Linked DNA regions of Canis lupus familiaris. The protein of the gene in region 3 purifies or fractionates together with the protein of the main gene of each other region. This does not show direct contact. Links are inferred from orthologs where the notes say so. Each region holds a gene or a part of one and is shown on either strand. Other genes may lie near its edges.

The links. Proteins that work in one complex are often made in the same cells at the same time.
Region 1: the proteins of EPS15 (region 3) and UBQLN1 purify together in Homo sapiens (affinity purification with western blotting; 3 studies listed by BioGRID and IntAct, with this or other methods). This does not show direct contact. The link is inferred for Canis lupus familiaris from reciprocal best matches to the Homo sapiens genes EPS15 and UBQLN1.
Region 2: the proteins of EPS15 (region 3) and AP2A1 purify together in Homo sapiens (affinity purification with western blotting; 5 studies listed by BioGRID and IntAct, with this or other methods). This does not show direct contact. The link is inferred for Canis lupus familiaris from reciprocal best matches to the Homo sapiens genes EPS15 and AP2A1.
Region 4: the proteins of EPS15 (region 3) and GJA1 purify together in Homo sapiens (affinity purification with western blotting; 3 studies listed by BioGRID). This does not show direct contact. The link is inferred for Canis lupus familiaris from reciprocal best matches to the Homo sapiens genes EPS15 and GJA1.

Annotation. Positions count from the first base shown.
Region 1 is NC_049222.1:76,346,730-76,351,229, reverse strand, and holds the start of UBQLN1 (ubiquilin-1), read right to left. Parts: upstream 2,911-4,500; coding exon 2,731-2,910; intron 1-2,730. UniProt on the Homo sapiens protein: Plays an important role in the regulation of different protein degradation mechanisms and pathways including ubiquitin-proteasome system (UPS), autophagy and endoplasmic reticulum-associated protein degradation (ERAD) pathway.
Region 2 is NC_049222.1:107,457,404-107,462,029, forward strand, and holds the start of AP2A1 (AP-2 complex subunit alpha-1), read right to left. Parts: upstream 2,911-4,626; 5' UTR 2,774-2,910; coding exon 2,707-2,773; intron 1-2,706.
Region 3 is NC_049236.1:9,899,248-9,903,193, reverse strand, and holds part of EPS15 (epidermal growth factor receptor substrate 15), read right to left. Parts: intron 2,509-3,946; coding exon 2,392-2,508; intron 2,143-2,391; coding exon 2,052-2,142; intron 1-2,051. UniProt on the Homo sapiens protein: Involved in cell growth regulation. May be involved in the regulation of mitogenic signals and control of cell proliferation. Involved in the internalization of ligand-inducible receptors of the receptor tyrosine kinase (RTK) type, in particular EGFR.
Region 4 is NC_049222.1:61,513,595-61,518,047, forward strand, and holds the start of GJA1 (gap junction alpha-1 protein), read left to right. Parts: upstream 1-1,543; 5' UTR 1,544-1,559; coding exon 1,560-2,708; 3' UTR 2,709-4,220; intron 4,221-4,262; 3' UTR 4,263-4,453. UniProt on the Homo sapiens protein: Gap junction protein that acts as a regulator of bladder capacity. A gap junction consists of a cluster of closely packed pairs of transmembrane channels, the connexons, through which materials of low MW diffuse from one cell to a neighboring cell.

The DNA of each region.
Region 1 (4,500 bases), on a different chromosome or scaffold from region 3:
CCACATTTTAAGTATTCAATAGTCAGATGTGGCTGGTAGTACCAAAGTGGACAGTACAGTTCTACACTCATCATAAAGTATGATGTTACATGATGTTTGTGGTAATGATCCTGACACACAGCAATTTCCCTTAACAAGAAAAGGCTCAAATCTATGCAATACTTGTTATATCTAAGTATACGAATATTCTAAAAGTTTCAAATGATAAAAATGTTTTCTAAGACTAGAATATATGTTGCCTGAATATTTCAGAGAACTAGATTTCAAAATCTTTTACTATAACCTAGAGCACTACAAAATCCCGGAACAAGCTAATTAGACACGTTACCTGGAAGCTCCCTTCTGCTCTCTGCACTAATTTTAATGAACGAATGACAACAGAAAGCACTTTTCAGAATAAAAATTCAAATGTCATCAGAATAAGTTGCTTCGGAAAAGCTTTAATTTAACCAATTTACTTTGGTTACAGAAAAGTAAAATTAAAACTCCCACAGGCTTTAAAATTCTAATGTCACTCTCACACACACAATATATATATAAATCCTAACAGACAGTACCTCATAAAATAACTTAAATGTACTTTTCTATTTATAAAATATTGACTCTTTCCAATCCTTTACAATAAAATGCTGAAAGCAGGCATGAAGGTGGAGACCTGAATTAGCAATCCTAGAAAGAAGATCTAAGGGCTTCAAAAGCTAATATACCTAGCAGAGCTAAAATGAAAAAGACTGACACTATCAAATGCTAGCAGGGATGTGGAGCAACAGGAACTCCCAAGAACCTTTGGTAGAACCTTTGGTGGAATACCGAATAGTATTCCATTGTAGGGGAATATATCACATTTTACTCTTTATTCATCAGCTAAGGGGTTGTTAATCATCTGGGTTGTTTCTTTTCGACCAGCCTTTAAAAAAGAGCGATAGAAGCTCTTTTTAAAAAGACAGTTTCTCATAACTAAGCCTACAACTACGCTATCACCCAGTCATTCCACTTCTAAGAATTTTAACAGGAAAAACTCCCTCTGTCCAACAAAAAAAGTTTGTATGTTCACAGCAACCAACTGCAAGAAGCCCATGTGGCCCTCAGCAGAATGCATTAATTAATGGCATATTCACACAGTGGAAAACACAGCAATAAACAGGAATTACTGGCATATACAAGAATGCATCTCAAAAACATTACACTGAGTGAAAAGACCTTACCCAACAGAATATATACTATATAATCCCACTTATGTGAAGTTCTAGAACAGGCAAAAACTAATGGTGAAAAAAATCAAAACAGTGATGTATGGAGGGGAGTGATTGAACTGTAAAGTTCTACATCTTGATAAAACTTTGGATCATATAGGTGTATTTGTTGAAAACATTTAATGATACTTGCAACTTACTCTAAAATGCATTCAAAAAGTAAAAGGAAGTAATACATGATTAGTTGCGTGATAAAGCAAATAAAACAAAGCGTCAATTGTAGGTGACGAACTATGAATGTTCACTGTACCATTCTTTCAACTCTGCTAGATGTTAGAAAATATTAAAATGTTAAGAGAAATTTTTATACAATTGGGGACCCCCCCACACACACACACACACAAAAGGTGATTCAGTAGGTGGTAAAAGTTTCTCAGTTGATGGTACACTCTACTTACTGCTCTACTCTATTTACACCACTATTTCCTGCTCTACTCTACACCACCTTTCAGAACGATTATGTAAACCAATATCCCATTTACAGTTTATGAGAAAACTTACATGTACATTTCACATTGTTGTTCCCTCAAACTGTTCCCATTTTAGATCGTCAGAGGTCAACAACTATGCAAAATATTTTCAACAATAAGCTACAACAAATTTGTTGAATTCTTCAAGATTCTTAATTGAACAGCAAAGTTTGTACACCCGAACCCAATTTTAAGCAGTAAATTATCTGGCAATATTCTCCATTAACTCCAATTTTGTTCTCTTGCATTCGACTGCCACCGCTAATATCTGCAAAACGTGGCTACCATCCCTCTAAAATCAAACAAAAACCTTCCCGATGACTGGCACCTAAGGGATGATAAACACTAAAAAGAAAACCGCAAGTCATCAATGAAAGTCATCCACCTTTCTTCCTTAAGGCTAGTACTATTAAGATGTGGCTGAAAACGATTTCTACGTCATGGTTAATTTTTTTTTTTTTTTGAAGATTAGAAGGTAGAAAAGATTTCAGCAATCAAAACGCAGAACTAAATGTACACGTGCTCCTCGCCCCAAAATCGACCTTAAGCTGCAAGCAGGTGAAACAATGGGCACCCACCCACCCTTTTTTTTTTTTTTAACTCAGGAGACAAAACCGCAGAGGAGGCTACCGCGAACCCTCGCCCAGCCCGGCCTCCACCCCGCCCGGAGCGCGGCGGTGGTCCCTTTCCTTTGTGAGCAGCGGGAGGGAGGCGGCGGGGGGCGGGGGGCGGGGGGCGGGGGGCGGGGGCTGGGGCGGGGGCTGGTGGTCCGCGGACGCGGGAGCGGGGGGAGGGGGCGGCGTCGGCGCGTCCCACAGCAGGCCGCGGGGCCCCGCCACAAGCCTCTGCGGTGTCCCAAGGAGCACACCCGGCAACTTGGGTGTGATCTGATTCGGGGCGAGACCCGCGAGGCGGGCCGACAGCACCTCGGGGGACGGTCTCCTCCCGCCGCGGGCGGAGGTCCCGCCGCCACCCCCACCCGGGCCCGCGGCCAGGGCGGCCCTCACCTGCTGCACGGAGCTGTTCTCGGGCACGGCGAACTCCTCCTTCTCCTTCGGGGTCTTCACGGTGACTTTCATGATCTTGGGCTCCGCGGACGCAGCGGCCGCGGGGGCGCCTGCACCTTCGGCCGCGGCGGCGCCGTCCTGGGAGCTCGGAGGGCCGCCGCTTTCACCACTCTCGGCCATGGCGGCGGCGGCGGTGACTCAGGCGCGCAGGAGGGAGCGGGCGAGCGAGGGGGAGCCAGCAGACGGCAGAGCCGGCCGGCCCGGGCAGCGGAGAACGCGGGGCACGCCGCCTCAGTGACAACCGGTGCGGGGCCGCCCTGGCAGGCGAGGGGCCGCGGGGCTCGGCGCGGGCTCCGGCGCAGGCCCGGGCTGGGCGCTCGGCAGCCGCCGTGAGTTCAGACGCCGCTCGGTCGCAGCGACATCCGCAGCCGCCGCCGCTCTTCCTCCTCCCCGCCCCTCCCCCCACGTCCCTCGGCCGGCGCCGCGCAGGGCACGCCGGGTAAGTCGGCTGGCGGCGTCGCCGAGTCATGCCCGGCCAGCCCCGCTTCCAGCCCCGGCCGCCTTTCTTTCCCTGTCCCGGCTCCATGGCCCAGAGGGTAGGCGCAGCCGGAGAGGAGAGCTAAAAGCAAAATGGGGCGGGAGGGATCAGTTCATTTCATTTCATCCCCTTGGCTAAAAAACAAATTAGCGTGTTCTGGGAAGCACGGTAACGGCGCGCGGTGATGACCTCACGCCTAGCGAAGTTACTAGAAAGGAGCTCGACCACTGGGCGACGCGGACGCGCCTGCGCGCTGTGGTTCGGCGGCGGCCCCCGCCCCCTGCGGACCCCGCGGCGGCCGTGCCCGGCCCCTCCGCGCCGTAGCGCTCGCCTCGCCTTTGCGCGCACCCGGGACCCCGGGGAGGGCAGTGGGAGTGCCGGGTGTCGCGGTAACAGCCGTCCGCTTGCCCACTTGTGGCCTTTGAGATGCTTGCCCGTACTGCCCGGTGCGCGGGAGGTGGAAGCTACGTTAATGGAGGAAGGCGCTTCGTCGTAACGAAGGAAGAGTGGGCCGTAGCCACCCTGCGCGATCCCGCGGAGTCACTGCCCCGCGGCCCGGGCGGCCCGCCCTCGGGTCAGCCGGTTGGGTCTGGCGATCAGGCCACCTCTGCTGACAGGCCGCCGCCCCCCGCCCGGACAGCCTGCGCGAGCGCCCCGGATTCTCTGGACGCTGCCCCGCAAAGTACGGGGGCAGAAACGGGGGCCCAAGGGCTGCCCCCCCCCCCCACCTGGGGCGCTTGAATGAAGCCGAGGTGTTCGTTTTACATTCTGTCAAGTTATTCCTGCAGTTCAGATTTTAGGTTCAAAAATCCTTTTTAGTAGAGTGTGGGTATAAATAATTTAATTATCTCCCCCCCCCCTAGAACTCGGGCTTTGAAATGACGTCATTTGCCTTTAAAGATGACTTGCAAGGAATATAGAACCCAGGACATTAGCTTTATTAATCAGTATTGCGCAAATGGAAACCCAGACAGCCCACAGTGACCCAAATACGCAAAGACACGTTCTGTATTTGTGTTTTTAAACAATCCAGCCCTGTTCTGGCAATGAATACTGTCCCAGGAAGACTGCTTTTTAGCAGAACACCTTTGGAATCTGGGTGTTAAAAGAGTTCCAAAAAAATAAACTTCAATATAGACATCATTTGACATCAGCTAATTTCTGGCAGCATTGTTCAATAAGGTGAACAGGTTACCTTACAAGGCTGCCTGTTGAAGGATACACGCTGCTGA
Region 2 (4,626 bases), on a different chromosome or scaffold from region 3:
GATGCCTGCAGCAGCCCCCTAATTATCTGCCTGCTTCCACCACTACCTCTTGAGTCTGTTCTCTTCATGCCAGCAAAGGAATTATTTTAAAACATCAGTCAGCTCAAGCCCCTCCTGTGCTCTAACCCTTCTCTCGTTTCACCCAGAGAAAGGCCAGAGTGCTAAGGCCTGTAAAGCCCTCCACAATCCCTGTCCCCTCTCTCTGCCCTCATTTCCTGCCCTCTCCCCCCTCAGCTCCAACCACACAAGTCCCCTCCCTCTTACCAGAACACACGTCAAGCATACTGCCACCCCAGGACCTCTAAATGCACCATCCCTCCACCTGGACCCCTCTGCCCTCCAAAATCTACAGGGTCTGTTCCTTCACTTCACTCAAAAGTCTACTCACATGTCACCCCCTTGGGGAGGCCTACTCAGGCACCATCTCAATCCTGGTCCTTCCTTATCTTTCCTTCCTGACTTTCCTTCACATTACCTTCTGACATAGTGTCATTTATTGTAGTTCAGTGTTTATTTTCTATGTCCCTCATGGCCTGGGTGCTCCCAAGCCAGAGATTCTTGTTGGCTGTTATAGCCTAGTCCCAGGTGTAGTGTCAAAAAGTAGTGATCAGGGGCACCTGGGTGGTTCAGTGGTTGGGTATCTGCCTTCGGCTCAAGTCGTGATCCCGCATCAGACTCCCAGCAGAGAGCCTGCTTCTCCCTCAGCCTGTGTCCTTGCCTCTTTCTCTGTGTCTCTCATGAATAAATAAATACAATCTAAAAAAAAAAAGTAGTGATCAAAAAGCATTTGTTGAATAAATGAATGAATGAACCTTCAGAGACAAGATGATATTATCAAGGAAGTTTACAGATAAGAAAATAGGAGCCTCGAGGTGCCTGAGCAGCTGACTCTTGATTTTGGCTCAGGTGGTGATCTCAGGGTCGTGAAATGAAGCCCTGAGTTGGGCTCTGTGCTCAATGCAGTGTCTGCTTGAGAGTCTCTCTCTTTCCCTCTCTCTCTGCCCCTCCTCCTTGTGCTCTCTTTCTGTCTCTCTCTAAAATAAATAAGTCTAAAAAAAAGAAAAGAAAGAAAGAAAGAAAGAAAGAAAAAAAAAAAAAGAAAAAACTGGGACTCAGAGAAGTTAAATGACTCGCCAAGAGTCACATCACTTCACATTGCTGGTAGGCATCTGGGGCAATGCACACCTACTCCTGATAGATGGCCCCCCACCTAACCCGCAGCCCCTTCTCACTCACCTCTTACCATAGTAACCACAACATCTCTCCTTCACCTGACTCCCAACACCTTCCAGCCCTCTTTCGCTGAGCACCTACTATGTACTAAGTCCTTTCATATCTACCAAATTCCAAAATAATCTCCAGGCATCTAACAGAGGCCACTTGTCAGATCCACCAAATGACAAAAACAATAGCCAAGACTGTCCAGTGTTTGGAATGTGCAGAAGGCCTCACTCACATGCATTTATCACAACAACCTCATCAGGAAGGTGCAATCAGCAGTCCCTCCTGACAGATGAGGAAATAGAAAGGCGAAATCCCCCATTCAAGGTCACATGGCTAGGGAGTGACAGCACTCAAACTCAAGCTCAGGTCCGGCTGACCCTAGAGCCCCTGCGGATATAGCCTCCAAAGCTCTTGGCAGCTCCAAACACCAACACCCACTCCCAGGAGTTGGGAAGCTGACTTGGCACCAGGCCTCTCATCGTCACGACAATTCTTGCTGCTGCTGCTCACTGTCCCCATATTGATGTGGTCAGATGAGAGAGGGCTCCAGATTCAGGACTGGCCTGCTCCCTGACCTCTGACCTCCCTCTGGGATCAGGCTTCCCCCAACCCCCAGCTTTCCAGATCTCTTCCCAACAAAATCCTAAGGCTCCCTGGGCCCTTCTTTTGAGCTCTGGGCTCTCCCCATTCTGGCACATTCCTCAAGCCCCCACTTTGTAACCTCTTCTTCTTTGTTCCAGGCCCCTAGCTTCCTGTCTCGGGTTCTCCCAAGACCCTCCACCCCCAGCAACTCTCCTCCATATTCCTCAACCCCTCCTTTCCCTGTAGCGACCCTTCAGCCCCCCTCTCCATTGCCCTCCATCCTGGAGTCCCTCTCTCCCTCTTCAAGGTCCTGCTATATAGTCCCACCTTCCCATCTCTCTTCCTCAACCCCCTGGGACTTTCTATTACTCTCAGATTCGCTCTGTGCACCACCCAGGAGCCTCCGTGACCTACCTAGCCCCTTCCCTTCTATGACACCCCCCAGCTAGGCCCTCAAAGCCAGACCCCATGATGCTTCCTGTGTTTTACGTCCTCCCGGTCTCCTCGGGCCCTCTCCCACTCTATCGCTCCACAGGGTACCCCCCACCCATGCACCTCCTTCCCTTTCTACCGACATCAAGGATTTCTCTCTCCCCACCATTGATAGGTTCCTCCAGCCTCTCTAGCATTCCCAGGGGACACCCTTATGTCCCCAGCCCCGGGACCTTTCCTTTAACACCCTCCCGGACGCCTCTAGCCACTCCGTGTCGTCACCTCAAGAGGCACTCTATGACACCCTAAGTCCTTCCATTGCTCCCACCCTAAAGTTCCCCCCGGGGCCTCTCTATCCTCCCCCCCTTCGCCCGCGATGGCTTTCAATGCCCCGGGCCCCTCAGTAATCCCCGAGCCCCTCAATTCCATGCTCCCCCGCCCTCCAGTGTCCCCCGGCCGCGCTCTCACAGTTCCGGATGTCGGAGATGAACACCGCGAGCCCCCGCATCCCATCGCCCTTGGAGACGGCCGGCATGATGGCGGTGGTGTCGGCTCCAGGCCTGGCCGGGCAGGGCACAGCGCAGCGGGGGCTGGCAGGCGGGGACCGGGAGCAAAGGACCCCAAGCAGCGCCGAGAAGCAGAGCCGGCCAGGGGGGAGGGCGGGCTGGCGGGCGGGCGGGCGGGCGGCAGGCCGCGGCTCCGCCCCCGGCCCCTCCCCTCCCGTTCGCCGTCCTGAGCTATCAACCTCCCATTGGCTCGAGTTACTGCCGCTCAGAATCGGACGCAACCGCCCCCCGCCCTCTCTCTCATTGGTCGCTGGACAAAGGCACGCTGCTGCGATTGGCCCAGTGGCCCGCTATTTCCGTTCGCGGGGGGCGGGGGAAAGGGGCGTTGCCCGAGAGACGGGCGGAGTTCGGTTACGTGTGGTGGGACCGCCCCCTCCGTGAGGCCGGGTCCCTTGCTGATTGGATCCGGCGAAGGGAGGGATTGACAAGAAGGAAGGCGGGGGCGGGGGCTTGGGAGGCGGGACTTGCATTTATCTAGACCAATGAGCGGGCAGATCGCCCACGCAGGCGTCGCGGATTCGCCAGACCTCCTCAGTTCCCGCCCCCGATTGGGCGGTTGTGGGGGCGGGAGAAAGGCGATCATAGGTAGAGAAGGAAGGGGGACGGGGTTGTCACTCGTCTTGCCCTGGATAGGTGGAGCGTCGCCTGCAATTCCCCGCTGCAGAGAAGTGGTTGGGAGGGGCAAGAAAATGTGAGATGTTTACTGCGCAAGCGTCTGCCTGTTTCCACTTTCTCCCTCCTCTCTTCCACCCCCGACTCCTTAAATCTTCTTCCAGGAAGTCTTCCCGTCCCCTTCCCCCTCTCTTGTCTGGGGCCAAGATGTTGAAACCTCCGTTCTCAGAACCGAGGAAACAGTAATTTCAATCTAAGCCTATTTAGGCAGACCTTAAACCTGTGGTCCAGAGAGGTTGCGTGACTTGCCCAAGGTCACACAGCTCTCAGGATAACAGAGCAGGGATTTAACCTACATTTTGTCTTTTAACCACTTTCCAATGTACAATGCCTTTTGGGGGCAACCATAACGCCATTCTACAGATATCAAATCAAAATCGTGAACCTCTCCTCCACCAAACTTAGAGTTCCTCCTGAGCAAGAATGGGATCTGGTACTGAAGAACACTAGTTAAAAGGAAGGAATAGATGAATCTGCTTGGTTTGGTCCAACCATTACCCCTTGGCACCCTGAGACCTTCTTTGATTCGCTGATTTTGGGGGAAGGCAAAGCCTCAGGAACTACGATGCCCCGAGCTATTGAGAAATTTGGGGCAAAGGGAACTGGAAGCGGCTGTTTCTGTCACTTACAGGAACTAAACCCCACATCACTTTTCTAATCTGAGACGTCTAGTATTCTTGGAATGAGCCTTGAGGGGAGTGTCCTGGATCCTGTGAACTTCCATTCGGAATCCCAGGAGTGTGGGGTGAGGGTGGGGGATGGGTACCAAGACAAGAGCTGCGGGGCGTACTTTCCAAATTTAATGGACAGTCCATTTGGGTTTCCAGGAATGGGGCTTGGGAAAATCATTCTGGGTTCTAGGAAGAAGGACATGCACAGAGCTGTTTTAGTAACCAGGAGAGTCCATTCCTAATATGGGTTGGGGGTGCTGTCTGCCCCCAGAGAACGGACAGCAGCCCGGTTAAAAACAACAAACAATAGGAATTTGAGTTGGAAAAAGTCCTTTTTATGGAAAGATACATTAAACATTGCAAGGACTGGAGGTGCCCACTCATGACATGAAGAAACTCTTCCTAAGGATAAATACTTTATATATATATAATATATATATATATATTAGTAATGGGGTTTGAACTTGTCTTCTTTTTGA
Region 3 (3,946 bases):
GTGGGCAAATGACACGAATAGACATCTTTCCAAAGACGATGTACAGATGTTCAACATCACTCATCATCAGGGAAATGCATACCAAAACTACAATGAGATACCACCTCACACCTGTCAGAATGGCTAAACTCAACAGCAGAAGAAACAACAGGTATTGACGAGGATGTGGAGAAAGGGGAACCCTCTTGCACTGTGGGTGGGAATGCAAACTGGTGTGGCCAGTCTGGAAACCAGTATGGAGGTTCTTCAAAAAATTAAAAATAAAACTACCCTAGGACCCAGCAATTGCATCAATGGTATTTACCCAAAGAATACAAAAATACTAATTTAAAGGGATACATGCACTCCAATGTTTACAGCAGCATTACCTACAATAGCCAAATTAATGGAAACAGACCAAATGTTCATCAACTGATGAATGGATACCAAAGACATGGGGTGTGTGTGTGCGCGCACACACACACATGTGCATGTAGTGGAATGTTACTCAGCCAACAAAAAAGAATGAAATCTTCTCATTTGCAACAACAAATGAGCTAGAGTATTATGCTAAGAAAATAAGTCAGAGAAAGAAATACTATATGACTTCACTCATAAGTGCAATTTAAGAAACAAACAAACAAAAAAAGACCATGGGGGGAAAAAAGGCAAGCCAAGAAACATAGTCTTAACTATAGAGAATACACTAATGATAACAAGAGAGGAGTTCTCCTGGGTGGGGGAGAAAACATGGGTTAAATGTGTGATGGGGATTAAGGAGGGCATTTGTTGTCCTGAGCACCAGGTGTTGTATGTAAGTGATGATTCACTAAATTCTACACCTGAAACTAATATTATATTGTATGTTAACTAACGGGAATTTATTTTTTTAAAGATTTTATATTTTTTTAAATTAAATTTTTGTTCTAGACTTTATTTTTAAAGATTTTATTTTTTCATGAGAGACACACAGAGAGAGACAGACAGACAGAGACACAGGCAGAGGGAGAAGCAGGCTCCATGTAGGGTGCCCGGTGTGGGACTTGATCCCAGGTCCCTGATCACACCCTGGGCTGAAGGTGGCGCTAAACCGCTGAGCCACCTGGGCTGCCCAAGATTTTATTTATTTATTCATGAGAGACACACACACAGAGAAAGAGAGAGGGAGAGACACAGGCAGAGGGAGAAGCAGGCTCCATGTAGGGAGCCTAATGTGGGACTTGATCCTGGGACTCCAGGATCACTCCCTGGGCCGAAGACAGGCGTTAAACTGCTGAGCCACCAGGGATCCCCAACTAACTGGAAGTTAAATAAAACCTTGGAGGAAAAAAAAAAATAAAACTGTTGTAAAATGACCTATCAATTTCAATAAACTGACTTGGAAATAAATAAAATGCAAAAAGAGCTTTGACTCCAGTGGTATTTAACATAGTTTACATGGACACCAGGTATTTCAATTTATTAAACTTTTATTTCTTCAATAACAATATAGGCACCATAAGGGCAGGGATCAGGCTTCTAACTGCTATTGATTCCACCGTTTAAAAGCATGATGTGGGGATCCCTGGGTGGCTCAGCGGTTTAGCGCCAGCCTTCGACCCAGGACATGATCCTGGAGTCCCAGGAACGAGTCCCGTGTCGGGAACCCTGCATGGAGCCTGCTTCTCCCTCTGCCTGTGTCTCTGCCTCTCTCTCTGTTTCTCATGAATAAATAAATAAAATCTTTAAAAAATAAATAAAAGCATGATGTTGGCACATTAGTAAAAAATCGCTGGTTGACCTAAGAGTACTTAATCTCCTCTCCTGGTCCATAATATCTCTTTCTTTTGGTCCTTATTCTGAACAAGAAACATGCTCTTAATCAGGGGCTCCTCAGACATAATCAGTGGCTTAGTCCTAGAAGTGAGTTAGTTGCTTGAAGAGGACAAATACCAGCAAATATAACATATCACATCTCTACATCCTCCACTTTTGTTGTAACAAGTAGGATCTCAAAACTGAAGCCCTCATTCTTATATCGTTACATTAAAAAGACTTTTTTGGTAAATCCATAATATAAGAAGAGTACTTACTGCCAACAAAAGGATCAGACTGGAAAAAATCCAAGTTTGTGTCTGCAACTGGATCTGTCAGTGAACTGGATTCTGCATTAAATGGATCGCCCTAAAAATAATTTTAAATTAAAAAGTATTCTTTTAGGAACCAGTTTTAAGATTTTGAAATAAAATGCTTTGAAAAATATCAATGGATGGTAATACAACAAATATTTCTGTAGTCATAAAGCTCACTTAATACATTTTTCTTTCCTTAGTTTAAAACAGTGTGTAGCCCATCTAGGGAAACCAGTAATGAGAACATATACATACACACACAAATATATATATATGTATATATATATAAAATTATTTTTACCTCTTTTGAATGTCTGTCAGTATTAAATTCAGGACAAACTTTCTCATTAACAGCTGTAGTCGCCACTTCATTATCATCAGGCACACCAGAAGGCAGTATTTCAGGACTACTTCTTACCTACAAAATATTAATGCTACATGGACTAAACTATGTATTTTCTACTCAGCAGAGGAAACTGACAAAGGATAACCAAAAATTACTAAAAAACAAAAGACAAGCAGAATGTATTCATTAAATGAGTTCTCTTAAAATCTTTCTTTGGAAAATGGTATCATCAAGCATCAAAGTCACTCAGGCCACAAAATTTAACCACTTAACCACTTCCCTTTGGTCATCTCCCACCTAGCCTCCAAGTCTTGCTGTTTTACCTCCCACCTCCTCCTCAAATCCATTCCTCTCCATCTTCACTGTCACTATCATCCATTTATAGTATCATCATTCTGATCCAGCTTAACCTTCCAACTGCCTTCTTGCCTCCAACATGTGCCCTTTCAAATGACCCTTTTTAGAGTAGCTAAAGGAATAGATCTAAAATACGAATCTGAAAAAAAATAAAATAAAATAAAAAAATACTAATCTGATCAGGACTGTTTGGTTAAAGGTCCTTCAATGGCTTCCCACGGCTTTCTGGATTTAGATCAGTAGGAAACAGGGCTTAAGAAGTGACAGGGAAGGGCAGCCCGGGGGGCTCAGTGGTTTAGTGCCGCCTTTGGCCCAGGGCGTGATCCTGGAGACCCGGGATCGAGTCTCACATTGAGCTCCCTGCAAGGAGCCTGCTTCTCCCTCTGCCTGTGTCTCTGCCTTTCTCTCTGTCTCTGTCTCTCATGAATAAATGAATAAAATCTTAAAAAAAAAAAAAAAGAGTTTTAAGAAGTGACAGGGAAAATCTCCATATCACCCTATGTCTTTGAAGGATAACCTTTTGATTGCAATGCCTAAATAAAAACCAAGTCTGTTAATTTTATGTCTTTAATGTATTTCAAACTTGTATTCTTGTCATCATCCCTCCCATTACTGCTTAAGTTTAGGCTAAAACCATCTCACATAGACCATTCCAACAGTCTCTTAACATATCTCTGCATGTTCAGTCCCACTCTCAAATCCATTTTCTACATTTTTCTAAAAGGTAAGTGCAATTATGTCACGTCTTGCTTAAATTCTTCAATGGTTACTCAGTGCAGTAAGATAAATCCTCCAATGCTTCAAGATGAACCCTCTTGCCCTTTTTGACCTAAAAGTGGTCACTTTTATCCAGGTGCAATGCACATCATAATCACCCATGGAATTTTTTTGTAAAAATATATGTACCTGGCACCATCCCAGAAACTCTAGTTCAGCAAGTTTGCAGTGGGGTACAGACATCTATATTTTAAGTAAGAGATAATGCAGGGAGCCACTATAAGAGAGCCTCATCTCCTATCAATACTTTCCCCACCATCACAAGATATCCTTTGAGAATTTCTTCTGACTCTGTGCAGCATGTTTCTCTCATCTCATACCTATGTAAATACTGTTTTCTCTGCCAGGAATACACCATCTTCTTCTTTGCTTAACA
Region 4 (4,453 bases), on a different chromosome or scaffold from region 3:
TATTCTCTATGCCTGTCATATGTAATGTCACTCATTTCTTCCCAGCTCTCAGGCCTTGCTAAGATTGTATCAAAGCATGAAAGCATTTCTGGCCTTAATCCAGCTTCACTATGATTTTAAAACCAGTGTGTGGTGCATTGGAAGTCCTTAGTCTTGGGATCATTAGTCTTGTAGCTCTACTGGTAGCTGAATATTTCCTATACCTTTAAGAGCTCAACTTTCATCAGTTAAATGAACTATGGGCAATTAGAAGTATAAATTAAATTAGCCAAGTAACTTTTGACATCCATGTCATCTCTACAGAATTGAGTCCATTTCACACTCCCAACAATGGGGAAGTCCTAGGCTTAAGATATCTAGGTATTGATAGAAAGTTAAATCTAGTGTATAGGATGAGGGTGCAAAGCCTGATAAGGGAACTTGAAGGTATATAGTAATTTAAAGATGAAAACCAATCATTTTTGCTAGAGATAACACTTTAAGATGGTAATTTAAAAAAATTTCTTAAGCTATAATTAGTATTGAGACAAATTGAACTTTTACTTGAAATGTGATGCGCAGGAGCACCGGGGTGGCTCAGTGGGTCAGGTCTCCGGCTCGCTCTGGCTCCCATCATGATCTCATGGGTCTTGAGATCGAGCCCCCATGTGGGGCTCTGCACTCAGGAGGGAGTCTTCTCCACCCCCACTCATGCTTATTTGCTCATGCACTCTCTCTCTTTCTCTCTCTAAAATAAAATAAATCTTTAAAAAAATGTGATGTGCATTTAGACTTTGCTTTTTTGAAAGTAGTTTCCTGCACATAATGACACATCGTGTCAAAATGGCGTATTTTAGTACAACATATTTTTCTCTGGGCAGAAGACAGACTTCTGAACCACCTAAGTCACTGCTTAAGAAGAAACAGAGAAGTATAAATGACCCTATTATAAAATATGCACTAATTACACTTGAACGAGCAAGGTGAAACAGTTCAGAGTACAATTAGGGATAAAATTCTATATAATAGGATGGAGGTTTGGAAACAAGGTTGTGTGTGTGTGTGTTTGTGTGTGTGTGTGTGTGTGTTCAGGGGCGTTCTTACTTCAGTTCTTAAACACCTGTACTTTTTGAAAACCGTCCTTTCAGCATTTTGCTTAGGCATGCATCCAGACACAGGCCTACCCGGCAAGAATTGCCCTCATTTATCAGACGGATAAAATAAGCAGAGGCACTTAGCATAGACAGTTTTTCGAGTCACATGGTGGGGCAGTGGTTGAGCAAGTTAACCTGTCCTTTGCAAGTTAAGATTGCCATTTACTGGGGACATCGGCTCTATTGCTTCTAAGATTTACCATATCTCAAGAAAATTGTGAGACTTGTTTGCAGGGGGAAATGGGACAGGAAGAGTTTGAACTTATTTTTTTTTTTTTTTTTAATTTGGAAGAGTGCTAGAAAGATAGGAGACCTTTTATCTTATTTTGACTCTCAACTGGAGACAACTATACATTTTAACTCATACTTTACAGTCTGTGATCATTTAGTTGTCTTTCGTTTCTTTTCAGGTGGTGCCCCGGCAACATGGGTGACTGGAGTGCCTTAGGCAAACTCCTTGACAAGGTTCAAGCCTATTCCACCGCTGGAGGGAAGGTGTGGCTGTCTGTCCTTTTCATTTTCCGAATTCTGCTACTGGGGACAGCGGTTGAGTCGGCCTGGGGTGATGAGCAGTCTGCCTTTCGTTGTAACACTCAACAGCCTGGTTGTGAAAATGTCTGCTATGACAAATCCTTCCCAATCTCTCATGTACGCTTCTGGGTCCTGCAGATCATATTTGTGTCTGTCCCCACACTCTTGTACCTGGCTCATGTGTTCTACGTGATGCGCAAGGAAGAGAAACTGAACAAGAAAGAGGAGGAGCTCAAAGTTGCCCAAACCGATGGTGCCAACGTGGACATGCACTTGAAGCAGATTGAAATAAAGAAGTTCAAGTATGGAATTGAAGAGCACGGCAAGGTGAAAATGCGAGGGGGCCTGCTGCGAACCTACATCATCAGCATCCTGTTCAAGTCTGTTTTCGAGGTGGCCTTCTTGCTGATCCAGTGGTACATCTATGGATTCAGCTTGAGTGCCGTTTACACTTGCAAAAGAGAACCCTGCCCTCATCAGGTAGACTGCTTCCTCTCTCGCCCCACGGAGAAAACCATCTTCATCATCTTCATGCTGGTCGTGTCCTTGGTGTCTCTTGCCTTGAACATCATCGAACTCTTCTATGTCTTCTTCAAGGGTGTTAAGGATCGCGTGAAAGGCAAGAGCGATCCTTACCATGCTACCACTGGCCCACTGAGCCCCTCCAAAGACTGTGGATCTCCGAAATATGCATATTTCAATGGCTGCTCCTCACCCACGGCTCCCCTCTCCCCCATGTCTCCTCCTGGGTACAAGCTGGTTACTGGAGACAGAAATAATTCTTCCTGCCGCAATTACAACAAACAAGCAAGTGAGCAAAACTGGGCTAACTACAGTGCAGAACAAAATCGAATGGGCCAGGCAGGAAGCACCATCTCCAACTCCCATGCACAGCCTTTTGATTTCCCTGATGACAACCAGAATTCTAAAAAACTAGCCGCTGGGCATGAACTGCAGCCACTAGCCATTGTGGACCAGCGGCCTTCCAGCAGAGCCAGCAGCCGTGCCAGCAGCCGACCTCGGCCTGACGACCTGGAGATCTAGATCCAGGCTTGAGAGCATTGATTCCACTCAGTGTGGAGAAGAGAAAAGGTGCTGTAGAAAGCGCACCTTAGGCGTTCATTTTGTTTCAGTGGAGGTGGTACTCAACAGCCTTCATCGTGAGGCTTAGAAAACACAAAGACATTAGAATACCTGGGTTCACTGGGGGTGTTTGGGATAGGCGGGTGGAGAGGGAGGGGAACCGGGAGGTACAAGTTGGTATTTAATGTAGTTTATTCAAAGAACTTTAGTTCTAAATATAAGTTGCATTAGGTGATACATAGGTAAGGGCTTTTTCTCCCCCCCACACACCCTAAGAATAGTGCTGTATATGTGAAAGAGTGGGTGATATATTTGGTTAAGTACTTTTTTGTTTTACCATGAAACTGAGATAACTTTGGCCGGGAAAAAAGAAAAATACTTCCTGGACATCTTGTTTCCTTTTATCAAGAAGAAGTTGGAGGATTGTCCTTATGTCCCTGCTAAAAAACATTCCATTGTTAAAATTTGCACTTTGAAGGTAAGCGTCCTAGGTGGGACCCTCCAGGTGTCTGTGGACTTGTGATACTATATTTTCTATTCTTGGTATCAGTTAAAAGTTCAGATAGGGCCCACAGAAAAAAGACTTTCCATGCATTTTCAAATCTCAGCCAGTCATATGTACATTATTTTTTTTTAACATCTACTTGCATCCTATTAATGCCATCACTTTTTCATCATTCCTCAACAACTGTTCACATTCATTTAATGGTTTCTGTAAAGATTTTTAAAACCGTGGGGATATCACTTAACATTTTTTGAATTAGAGTCAGGGAATCAAGCCATGCTCAATATTTAACAATCACTTCTATGTGTATGTGTGTGGAAGAGTGTGTTTTATTTGTCATGTATTGGTACAAGCAGAGCAGTATAAACTCACAAACACAGATTTGAAAATAATGCACACATAGTGTTCAAATTTGAGCCTTTCTCATGGATTTTGTGGTGTGGGCCAATATGGTGTTTACATTATATAATTCCTGCTGTGCAAGTAAAGCACACTTTTTTTTTCTTTCCCTAAGTGTTTTTTTCCCATGTATCCTATTGTGGATACTGGTTTTGTTAATTATGATTTTTTCCCTTTTTTCTCTTTTTTAGAATATAGCAGTAATGCTATTGCTGAAATGGATGATTTTCTTTTTCTGAAATGTAATCATGGATGCTTGAATGATAGAATTTTAGTACTGTAAACAGGCTTTAGTAATTAATGTGAGACACTTAGAAGAAATGCTTAGAGTGGGCTTTTAAGTGTGCCTAAATGAATTTTGCAGTAACTGGTATTCTTGGTTTTGTCCTACTTAATACACATTAATTCAGAACTTGTATACTGTTAAGAGTTAGATTGTCTTTTGGAATGACCAGCAACTTTGATGTTTGCACTAAGATTTTATTTGGAATGCAAGAGAGGTTGAAAGAGGTTTCAGTAGTACACATGTAACTAATTTATTTGAAATGTACCCTAAAGAAATCTACCATGTAACTAATTTATTTGAAATGTACCCTAAAGAAATCTACCAGTTTCTTCAAATGCCTTTTTAAAACTCATCAGAGATGATTAGTAAAAATGCGGAGTATCATACTTTTCTTCTTGCATGTCAGCTACATAAACAGTTTTGTACAATGAAAAATACTAATTTGTTTGACATTCCATGTTAAACTACTGTCATGTTCAGCTTCATTGCATGTAATGTAGACCTAGTCCATCAGAT